Callithrix jacchus: one gene and its partners. The protein of the gene in region 2 interacts with the protein of the main gene of each other region in a biochemical or structural test. Links are inferred from orthologs where the notes say so. Each region holds a gene or a part of one and is shown on either strand. Other genes may lie near its edges.

The links.
Region 1: the proteins of INPP5D (region 2) and CD244 interact in a biophysical measurement, tested with the Homo sapiens proteins (2 studies listed by IntAct). The link is inferred for Callithrix jacchus from reciprocal best matches to the Homo sapiens genes INPP5D and CD244.
Region 3: the proteins of INPP5D (region 2) and SHC1 form a complex in vitro, tested with the Homo sapiens proteins (2 studies listed by BioGRID and IntAct, with this or other methods). The link is inferred for Callithrix jacchus from reciprocal best matches to the Homo sapiens genes INPP5D and SHC1.

Annotation. Positions count from the first base shown.
Region 1 is NC_133519.1:20,750,227-20,753,871, reverse strand, and holds part of CD244 (natural killer cell receptor 2B4), read left to right. Parts: intron 1-32; coding exon 33-350; intron 351-433; coding exon 434-721; intron 722-2,974; coding exon 2,975-3,085; intron 3,086-3,645. UniProt on the Homo sapiens protein: Heterophilic receptor of the signaling lymphocytic activation molecule (SLAM) family; its ligand is CD48.
Region 2 is NC_133507.1:154,424,638-154,428,999, forward strand, and holds the start of INPP5D (phosphatidylinositol 3,4,5-trisphosphate 5-phosphatase 1), read left to right. Parts: upstream 1-1,432; 5' UTR 1,433-1,573; coding exon 1,574-1,707; intron 1,708-4,362. UniProt on the Homo sapiens protein: Phosphatidylinositol (PtdIns) phosphatase that specifically hydrolyzes the 5-phosphate of phosphatidylinositol-3,4,5-trisphosphate (PtdIns(3,4,5)P3) to produce PtdIns(3,4)P2, thereby negatively regulating the PI3K (phosphoinositide 3-kinase) pathways.
Region 3 is NC_133519.1:15,379,916-15,382,883, reverse strand, and holds the end of SHC1 (SHC-transforming protein 1), read left to right. Parts: intron 1-29; coding exon 30-156; intron 157-691; exon of another isoform or gene 692-1,292; coding exon 1,293-1,470; exon of another isoform or gene 1,471-1,548; coding exon 1,549-1,618; exon of another isoform or gene 1,619-1,699; coding exon of another isoform or gene 1,700-1,702; coding exon 1,703-1,834; exon of another isoform or gene 1,835-1,985; coding exon 1,986-2,398; downstream 2,399-2,968. UniProt on the Homo sapiens protein: Signaling adapter that couples activated growth factor receptors to signaling pathways. Participates in a signaling cascade initiated by activated KIT and KITLG/SCF.

The DNA of each region.
Region 1 (3,645 bases), on a different chromosome or scaffold from region 2:
CCACTACCTTCAGCTTGGGTTCTCTTTCCTAGAATGCCAAGTTCCAGCTGACCATGTGGTTAGCATCTCGGGACAGCGTCTTCAGTTACAACCAAGCAGTACACAGATGAAGGTTGAAAGTATTCAATGGAAGATGCAGCTGCCCTCACGTAAGGCATTTAATCAGATATTTCAGTGGGAGAATGGCTCGACGACTATCAATGCTTCCAACGATAGATTCCATTTTGAAATTGAGAACCCAACTCTTCTCATCGAGGCAGCTCAGCCGCAGGACAGTGGCTTCTACTGCCTAGAGGCCACCTATACATCTGGAGAAATTCACAGAGCCACGTTCCAGGTTTCTGTATTTGGTGAGTCTCCAGGACTGCTCATACTGCCCTCTCTGATTCCCATAGGCCTCTAATTTCTGTATTTCCAATGCCTTTCTGATCAGAATCTCTGCTTCCAGATACAATTGAGAAGCCCCGCCTACAGGGGCAGGGGAAGATCCTGGACAGTGGGAGGTGCCAAGTGGCTCTGTCCTGCTTGGTCTCCAGGGATGGCAATGTGACCTATGCTTGGTACAGAGGGAGCAAGCTGATCCAGAGAGCAGGTAACCTCACCTACCTGGAGGAGGTTGACGTTGATGGCCTGCACACATATACCTGCAATGTCAGCAACCCCGTTAGCTGGGAAAGCCACACCCTGAATCTCACTCAAGGTTGTCAGAATGCCCATCAGGGTAAGTGGAACACACTGGGCTATAACAGGGGCTGAAGGTGTGTACCCCAAGACCAGGCTCATGCTCAAGACAGATGTGGTATGAGATAAAATCCCTTGGTCTCCTCTCCCAGTGCCTTGTAGCCCTTCCCCGCGCAGTCCTGGCCTCCAGGCACATGGTTCCTCTAAAGCCAGGCCTATCCGATTCTGGAAAAAAAAATAAAAAAAAATGTTAGCCCTATTTCTTTCTGGGAGATGCAAGTGTTTCCTCTGCAGAGGGAAAGTGTAATTGTTTGCTGAGTGACAGTCCTACAATGGCTTGAACATAATTTTCTTCCTGGGAGAGGCTGATGGAGAACTGTTCTCTTCTCTTGAGTGATAACTTTCCCCAAGCCACATAGTTTGAGAGGTTAACGACACCGTGCAGCAGTAGCCTGGAGCAGGAGCATCACAGTGATCCCAGGGATACCTAGACGAGTTCTTGGGTTGCTTATGCTCACCCTAAGAGTTACCTGTGTTAACTTGGCACAACTTTTTATTAGATAAACAGAAACTTCTTGGGCCAACAACATGGGCATTACATAAAAAATTTTAAAAAAGCATACAGCTCTCATTTGTAAGGAACTTATAGCCAAATTGGGGCAACAAAAATAAGTGCTTCTGGACAACAAAGAAACAAGACTGAGGCAGGCCAGGCGCAGTGGCTCACGCCTGTAATCCCAGCATTTTGGGAGGCTAGGGTGGGTGGATCACGAGGTCAGGAGTTCGAGACCAGTCTGGTCAACATAGTGAAACCCAGTTTCTACTAAAAATACAAGCAATTAGCTGGGCATTGTGGCAGGTGCCTGTAATCCCAGCTCCTCAGAAAGCTGAGTCAGAAGAATTGCTTGAACCCAGGAGGTGGAGATTGCAGTGAGCCGAGATTGTGCCACTGCACCCCAGCACGGGCAGCAGTGCAAGACTCTGTCTCAAAAAAAAAAAAAAACAAAAAAAAAACGAACCAAGAATGAAAGACTGAGGCAATGTGTAGTGACAAGGACACTGGCTTCATCATTCATAGAAGCTCTGTGCTCTCTTAGAGGTCAGGTGTGGTGGCTCATGCCTGTAATCCTGGCACTTTGGGAGGCAGGTAGATCACTTGAGCCCAGGTGTTTGAGACCAGTCTGGACAACATGGCGTAATCCCGTCTCTATTTGAAAAAAAAAAAGAAGAAGAAACTCTGTGATCTCTAGCAGATTCATTGATTCATGAACATCTTTGAGCCTCAATTTCTTTCCCCCTTGGGTAAAATGGGGATGATAATAGGTACCTCACAGGACTGCTGTTAAGAGTAAATGAGACGATGTTTGTAAAGAGCCTTGTCAGTACCTAGGACACTTCATTCCTTTTCCTTTTTCTTGTTGGCTGGATTGTATATCAGGCTACATGTGTGACACAAATGTTTTAAGTAGAAGTTCAAATGAGGAAGACCTATGAAGCCAGGAGTAGTGGAAAAGTGAGATGGAAAACTTGCCTGTACAATGAATATTTTTTGAGTTAAAAGCAAATAAATGGATAAATGTAACATTTGTTGTGCTAGATGCTTTACACGTCCTTCAGTATCCATGGGGGATTGGTTCCAGCACCCACCCCCAACCACAGATGCCAGAATCCACGGATGTTTAAGTCCCTGGCATAAACAGGTGCAGTATTTGCATGTAACCCATGCATATCTTCCTGTATACCTTACTTAAATCATCTCTAGATTAATTGTCCTACCTAATACAATGCAAACACCATTTAAATAGTTGTTATACTGTATTGTTTAGGGAATAATGACAGTATTGTTTAGGGAAAAAAGTCTCTATGTATTCACATGCAATTTCTTTTCCCTGAATATTCTGGATCCACAGTTCATCGAATCCACAGTTGTGGAACTCTAAACTTTGGAGGGTCATGTGATTAACCCCTATAGGTAGAAAACATTATCCCCTTTTACAGGTGAGAAAATCTGAGAGGCTCTTTGAGAGGCCCAGAGAGGTAAAATAAATAGTGCAGAGCTCACAGAGTTAGAATTTGAGCCAGGCCTGTCTGATATTAATATCCATGCCTTGGCATCACTCAGAAGAGGTTACCCAACCGAGCAAAGAGTAAACCTTGACGGTGAGTTCACAGAGTGTGAGGTGATCAACTACACCACAAAAGGAGGGGGTTTTGAGACAGCCTCCCTCAGGCAGGTGAGAAGGAAGAAGAGAGCGAGCTGACGCTCAGTCCTCATGCCTTCTGTATTCCTTAGAATTCAGATTTCGGCCTTTTTTGGTGATCGTCCTGATTCTAAGCACGCTATTGCTTGGCACCCTTGCCTGCTTCTGTGTGTGGAGGAGAAAGAAGAAGGGGAAGCAGTCAGGTGAGTGGAAGGTCCTTGGGGTGGTGCTGCTGCCCGGGGCCTCGGATCTTGTGTCTTGTCCAGTGGGATGTGTCTGGGAGCACAGCATCTCCCTTTCCTCAGGGAGCTTCGGTATATGCGTGTACGTGGTGGGGGAAGGCAAGCAGGCTCCTAGGCTCTCTCTCCCAGTTCATGCCTTCTGATCCCCAATGCGCAGATTTCCCTGCAGGCAGCTGATTTGGGAGGAGGCGTGGCAGGGGCGGTTCGGTTGCCGCCTCTGTGCTCTTTGCGTTTCCTGGGAAGAGCATTAACCATGTAGGCCGGGCACGGTGGCTCAAGTCTGTAATCCCAACACTTTGGGAGGCCGAGGCGGGTGGATCACGAGGTCAAGAGATCGAGACCACCCTGGTCAACGTGGTGAAACCCCGTAAAATACAAAAAATTAGCTGGGCATGGTGGCGCGTGCCTGTAGTCCTAGCTACTCGGGAGACTGAGGCAGAATTGCCTGAACCCAAGAGGCGGAGGTTGCGGTGAGCCGAGATTGCACCATTGCACTCCAGCCTGGGTAACAAGACCGAAAC
Region 2 (4,362 bases):
GGCTCCCATCACCACTGTATCCACGCCCGGCTCTAGGCCTGGCCAGAGGTTCTTGAGTGGGAGTGCTTTGTCTGCCCCACAGACCCGCCTGCCATGCGTGTCGATACAGGTGGGAGGTGCCGGGGCCCCTGTTCTGGGATGACTGTCAGTGTGACTCATGTCAAGCCCCTTGGCACATGTGAGCTCCTTTACAAGCTACGCCCTTCAAGTTAGAAAAGAGGAAATGGAAGCCGAGAGAGAGAAGAAATGTGACCAGGTTCTCACAGCTTGAATGTGGTGGTGCCCTCCGGCTGGTGCCCCCTCCTGGACGGGGTCTGCTATCCTGTCCCGGAGGGCAAGGGATGTGCGGGGCAAGCCTTGTGCAGCAGGTCAACACGTGCCCCTTCGCCTTTGGTAGACCTGACCCAAGGATGGAGGGTGTCCAGGTCTGGGGGCTGAGGGATGGGTGTCTACCACGGAGCCCTCAGAAATTGCTGGTCCTGGATGGCAGTCCCTGGAGAGGCAGCTCCCCTTTGAGCAGTGGGCGAACGTGGCCATGCCCAGCCTTGGAGGAGGCGCAGTCCCACTGGCCACCTGGACTGCTGAGATGCAGGACTCAGGAGCCAGTGTCGTCCTTGGCCAGGTGGCCAGCCCGCCCTGTGGCGCTGTGGTGGTCTCCTCTCAGAGCCTGCTTCCTCGGCCTTCTGGAGACGCCCAGGGGAAAACCCAGCCTGTTCCCGCTGTAAACAGTCCACGTCCCCTCCAAGCTCCCTTTGTGTGTCTCCAAGCCAGACTTCAGGGATCAGAGCTGTGCTGCCATGCCCCTGGGAATGAGGGTAGTGGGGTCACAGAGCCATCACCTGGACCTCGGAGCCCTTGGCTGGTGGCACCCAAGGCCTCCCAGCCTCCGGCGGCAGCTCCGTGCCTCTGAGGGGGCGGGGCAGGGCTCCACTATGCCCCGCCCCCTCAAGTTTGCTCTGTCCTGGGCAGGCCGTAGTCCCAGTTGAAAAGCTGTGTCCCCTTGGGTGTTTTGGGGATTCCGGGTTGGCCTTGAAAAGCCCTGGCGGAGGGCAGAAGGCTCAGGAGGCCTGTCCAGGGCGTGGCATCCAACGTGGTCGTCCTCTGGCCCACCCACACCTGCTAGGCCACGCTTCTTCCTAAGCCGGCCACGACTCTCCTGCGTCTCCGCAGCCAATCGTTCTGCCCAGCGGGACTTCAGCTGCTCCTGGACACTTTAGCTGTGGGCTGTGACCTGTTTCCGGGAAGGAGAGAGCCGGCGTGAGAGCCGCGGCTGCCGTGGCGGGGCGTGGTAGACGGTGGACGGCCAGAGCGCCCCCCCTCGCCCCCGTCTCTGTGTCTGTGTCTCTCGCGCGCGCTTGCTTGGTGTCTGTAATGAGGAAGTTCTCCGCAGCTCAGTTTCCTTTCCCTCGCTGAACGCCTGAAACAGGAAGTCAGTCAGTTAAGCTGGTGGCAGCAGCCGAGGCCACTGAGAGGCAACAGGAGGCAGGTTGCAGTGGAGGGGCCTCGGCTCCCTTTGCTGGCGGGTGGGTCCTGGGGGTGCCGGCCGGCCCGGCCTAGGAGCCCCGCGCCCGCCATGGTCCCCTGCTGGAACCACGGCAACATCACCCGCTCCAAGGCGGAGGAGCTGCTCTCCAGGACTGGCAAGGACGGGAGCTTCCTCGTGCGTGCCAGCGAGTCCATCTCCCGGGCATATGCCCTCTGCGTGCTGTGAGTACAACCTGCTCCTTCCCCGGGCACAGAGGTGACGGAGGGGCTTCGAAGGGCCCAGAGTGGGATGGGTTGTTCTCCTGTCACACAGGACAGAGTGACCTGACATGCACACTTCCCCGCCACCCTGCCACAGACCCTGGCCTTAGACCTTGACCTTGGAGTTCAGGGACCTGGTCTCATGGCAGTTTTTGCAGCCTGGGAGCTGTCAGAGCCACTCTGAGGCCTGATCTGACACCCCAGCTTCCCGTGAGCTGTGTGGTGCCTGGGGCTTCCTTGGGGTCTGAGGACCGAGAGAAGAGGGTCTGGCTCTTTGAGCTAGGAGGAAGCTCACGGCTCTTTGGAGGTGGGTGTGTTAGAGCAGTTCAAAGACGCCCAGCTCAGAAACCCTGAGAAGAGCAGAGGTGGCCAGAGGGACCCTTCCTGGAGCACCCAGGCTTTGGGCCCATGGAGGAAGCTGCTGTTTGGCGACCCAAGATTACAGGGTGGGTTTAATCAAGAAAGGACTTTCACTCAGAAGCTGCTTTCGGGGGCCTGAGAGCAGAGGAAGCCACCATTACCAGTAGCGAGCAACCTCTTCTGTCTCTCCTGAGCACTCAGCTGTGACCGCTGCCCACCCCTCACCCCCTCAGTTTGGGTCTCTGTCACCATCAACTCCTTCCACTGCCCGGTTGGGGATGTTTCTGAATGTGCCAGCTGTGCTGACATGAAGGAACCAGCCACTTGCTGAAGGTTCCTTTCTAGAACCCCCGTCCTGTCCAGTGTCTGAAGGACACCCTTGCCCGGCAGCTCTTGGTCCATTCATTCTACTGGGGCCTCGGCAGTGCCAGAGCGTAGTCAGGGGAAGGGTGTGTCCGCCTGGACATCCCAGGTAACATCCCTGGGCTAGCAGAAGTGCTCCGCAGAGCAGCCAGGGTCTTGCCCTGCTCCAGGCAGGAGGGGAAGTGGGCAGTGAACCCAGACGTGTTTTGAACACTGACTCACAGCTGGGACCCGCTGTGCTAAGCATTTGTTGGCCCATTTCATCCTCACCACAACCTAAAATGCAGGTTCTTTAAAAGGCCTACTTTGCAGATGAGGAATCTGAGGACCTGGTGGGTTGAGTGACAGCAGTCAAAGCCACGGCCGTCTGCCCCCGAGGCTGCAGCTGAGACCAGCAGCCTGTGTTGCCCAACCTCTCCTGCCCCCAGTCCAGTGGGGCATGCATGTAGCCTTGGGGGGTTAGAGGCGGAAGCAAGGGGAGCCAGAGTGTATACGGGGTCGGCTGGGGCACTGCAAAGCAGCCCCGCTCACAGCTGGCTGCTGGCCTGTGCTGGCAGTCTGCAGCCCCACCTCTGAAGACTGGTTTCCTGTGCCCCCGTCTCAAACCTCAGGGGAAGGAACACAGGCCCAGGCTGCCTAGACTTCCCCATTGGGGACCTGCTGCTGCCGGGGCCTTAGAAGTGGCAGGGAGATTCTTTTAGGCATCTGCAAGCCCAGTCTGACTCCACCCTGCCCATGTGGATTACTTGGATTTCTCTCCAGGCCCAGTGGGAAGTTGTCCTGGCTGCTTGGTGTTGGCTGAGCAGAGGGCATCTGGAACGGTATCTCGTTAACCTTCACCGCCGCTCTCCGACCAGGTTCTGTGGTTGCTCAGGTTACAGATACAGGACATGGGTCTCTCTGACTCCACGCTGTGAGCATCTTAATATCTAGGGTCAGAGTGAGGCACAGCCAGAGCTGGAGAGGGCTTGGAGAAGCTCTGGTGCCACAACCCTGGCTTTTTGGGAGTAGACAGAGAGCAGAGCCTGAGGTCTTTGTTCACATGCTGGCTGGGGGCAAACTGCTGGGATCCAGGCCAGCTTCCATATTCCTTCCTCCACCTCTTCTCTCTGAAACCTTGTCTGTACTGAGTTACTCTCAGATCCATGATGGGTGAGCAGCGACTGCTCCTTAGGGAGGGACCTGTGGTGCCCACAGATGTCTGCTGTCCTCTTAGCTGAAGCCTGGCAACCTCCCATCCGGAGGCTGCTGGGCTGCAAATGCCAGGAGCTCCACCCCTTGGCCAGACAAGCCCTGGGCTCAGGGTTCCCCTTTCTCCCCTGCTCAGGGAGGGGAGCAGGCCCCTGCTGCAAGGCCAGGCTCCACTGGCGGCTGTGGGCCACCCTGTGCCTGCAGACTTGCTGCGCGCCTGCGAGGCTTCACGTGGCCTAAAACTAACTAAAGGAATGATAACGGCCTGTCATCTTGCAACACCTCATTTCATGAAAGAAAGCCGCCTTTACACCAAAAAAGGCAGGAAGGGCATATTAGAAAAAAAAAAAAGGCATTTAAGGCAAAGAGATTGAACTTCTCGAAAAACAAACCCCACCACTGTTAGTTTTCTCTGTTCCCCGCAGCATGGCCGTGGCCTGACGGCAAAGGCAGGCAGTAGGCAGTCCCAGGCTGAGGGCTGCGCCGGCAGCTCCAGAGGGAGCAGGCTTTGTCCCCCAGCCTGGAAGCCTATCAAGCCTCAGGGACCCCAAGAAGTGCAGCTGATGGGGCAGGGCCATGGAGCCACCCTGCTCTAGACGTGACTGTAGAAGGAAGCCACACTCTCACTCTCCTGCCCTAGCAAAGTCCACTGGGCAGAGAAAAGTATACTCGCCCCGTGGCCACTCAGATCCCCAAGTTCCC
Region 3 (2,968 bases), on a different chromosome or scaffold from region 2:
CTCAATGACCGCCTCTGCTGTGCCCTCAGCCTGCCACATTCTGGAGTGTCCTGAAGGGCTTGCCCAGGATGTCATCAGCACCATTGGTCAGGCCTTCGAGTTGCGCTTCAAACAATACCTCAGGAACCCACCCAAACTGGTCACCCCCCATGACAGGTGAGCAGGTGGGGAGGATGTGCAGCAGCTCTTAAGCCCCAGAACAGGATTGGGAAAGGAGGGCTGCTCTTCCTACACTTGAGCTGAGAGGCTTAGGGAGGGAATAACCTGCGTGCCTCTGCTTCCCCCTTCCTGTGATTCTTCCATTTCCTGTGGCCCACAAGGAAAGACTCTTGAGGCCCTGCTTGCTGCAGGGCCAGCTTTTCCTCCTGTTGCTCATGGTGGAGCTGCAGTCTGAGGCATCCAAGTTACATCTCTCTCTCTGGCTAGATGAGATTTTTCTACTCCCATCCCTCTTGCTTGCCCATTTCTCTGACACTCTGTATTTTAATGCTTCCAGAAGCCATCAAGAATTTGGGTTTGTGAGGATATCTCTTTTCCCTGAGATTAGTGTTTCCCACCTCTGGCCGTGAGGGATAAGCAGTGGCGCCAGGAGGGACTGATTAGGAGAGGTTAAACTATTCTGTAGTGCCTTCTCCCCACCTCACTACATAATGCTTCCCTTCCTTGCTGGCAGATAGCACAGTGATCAAGGGCAAGAGCATTACTTTTTTATTTTGAGACAGAATCTTGCTGTGTTGCCCAAGCTGGAGTTCAGTGGTGTAATCACACAACTCACTGCAGCCTCCATATCCTGGGCTGAGTGATTCTCCCACCTCAGCCTCCTGAGTAGCTGGGACTACAGGTGCATGCCACCACACCTGGCTAAGTATTATTATTTTTTTGGTAGAGGCAGTCTCACTACGTTGCCCTGTCTGGTCTTGAACTCCTAGGCTCAAACAACCTCCCTCCTTGGCCTCCCAAAGTGTTGGGATTACAGGTATGAGCCATTGCACCTGCCCAAGGGCATAAGCTTTAAAGTCAAACCTGAATTTAAATCTGAGTCTGTCACCTTTTAGTTGTGAGACCTTGGGCAAATCTTTTCACCACTGATCCTCATTTGCCTCATCTGTAAAACTAGGAAAGAAAACAATACCTATCTTATGGGGTTGCCAGGAGAATGAAATGATTAGGTATATAACACACTCAGCCTCAGGCCTAACCCATAGTAAATACCGAATACATGGCTGCTGTTCCGTTCCCTCCTCCTGCCCACCACACATTTACGGCCACACCTTCACTGTCCTGTCTCTCAGGATGGCTGGCTTTGATGGCTCAGCTTGGGATGAGGAGGAGGAAGAGCCACCTGACCATCAGTACTATAATGACTTCCCGGGGAAGGAACCCCCTCTTGGGGGGGTAGTAGACATGAGGCTTCGGGAAGGAGCCACTCCGCCCACTGCCCAGACCCCCAGCCACTTGGGAGCTACACTGGTAAGTTGTTTGGATGGAGGCCTAGGGTGGGAGTGGCTGGTTAGGGCCTCTGGTTCCACCTTATTTTCATCCTTGCAGCCTATAGGACAGCCTGTTGGAGGAGATCCAGAAGTCCGCAAACAGATGCCACTTCCACCACCCTGTCCAGGTATGAAGGGAGCCGAGATGGGCAGAGCTGGGGAGTCCTGGAGGCAGGACCGGGATCACTGTACAGCCTCCCTTTCCTCAGCAGGCAGAGAGCTCTTTGATGATCCCTCCTACGTCAACGTCCAGAACCTAGACAAGGCCCGGCAAGCAGGGGGTGGTGCTGGGCCCCCCAATCCTGCCATCAATGGCAGTGCGCCCCGGGACCTATTTGACATGAGTGAGTGCTCCTCTCTCCTCTCTGCATCCCTATCTTCCTACTTGGTTCTGGCCCTTCCCCTGCCTATATCTGCTCTTTCCTTCCCTGAAGTCTGGGTCTTGGGTGTGTATTGTGCCTGCTACCTCCCCTCACCCTCTCTCTACACCTCCAGAGCCCTTTGAAGATGCTCTTCGGGTGCCTCCACCTCCCCAGTCGGTCACCATGGCTGAGCAGCTCCGAGGGGAGCCCTGGTTCCATGGGAAGCTGAGCCGGCGGGAGGCTGAGGCACTGCTGCAGCTCAACGGGGACTTCCTGGTGCGGGAGAGCACGACCACACCTGGCCAGTATGTGCTCACTGGCTTGCAGAGTGGGCAGCCCAAGCATCTGCTACTGGTGGACCCTGAGGGTGTGGTGAGTATGGCAGAGGTGAGGGTGAGGGGTGGCAGAAAGGAAGGTACAGTACCCTACAGTGCATTCTTGTTCCTTCCCCCATTGCTTTCTAGACATTTCCTGCTGGGCAGCTCTCTGTGGGCCTCTCTGCTCTTCAAGGTGTCTGGCATCTTCCTCCAGGGGCTTATCCCTTAGCCTGAACTGTGTCCTTTATAGTCCTGGCACAGGGCCAGGCATGGTGGCTCACGCCTATAATCCCAGCACTTTGGGAGGCCAAGGTGGGCAGATCACTTGAGGTTAGGAATTTGAGTCCAGCCTGGCCAACATGGTGAAACCCAGTCTCTAGTAAAAATATAAAGATTGGTCAGGCACAGTGGCTCACGCCTGTAATCCCAGCACTTTGGGAGGCTGAGGTGGGTGAATTACCTGAGGTCAGGAGTTTTGAGACCAGCCTGACCAATATGCTGAAACCCTGTCTCTACTAAAAATACAAAAACTAGCCGGGTGTGGTAGCCTGTACCTGTAGTCCCAGCTACTTGGGAGGCTGAGGCAGGAGAATCGCTTGAACCAGGGAGGTGTAGGTTGCAGTGAACTGAGGTGACACATTGAGGCTCTGTCTCAAAAAAAACAAAACAAAACAAAACAAAAACCTGTGTGTGGTGGCACACAGCTGTAATCTCAGCTACTCAGGAGGCTGAAGCAGGAGAATGGCTTGAACCGGGAGGTGGAGGTTGTAGTGAGCTGAGATCACACTGCTGCACTCCA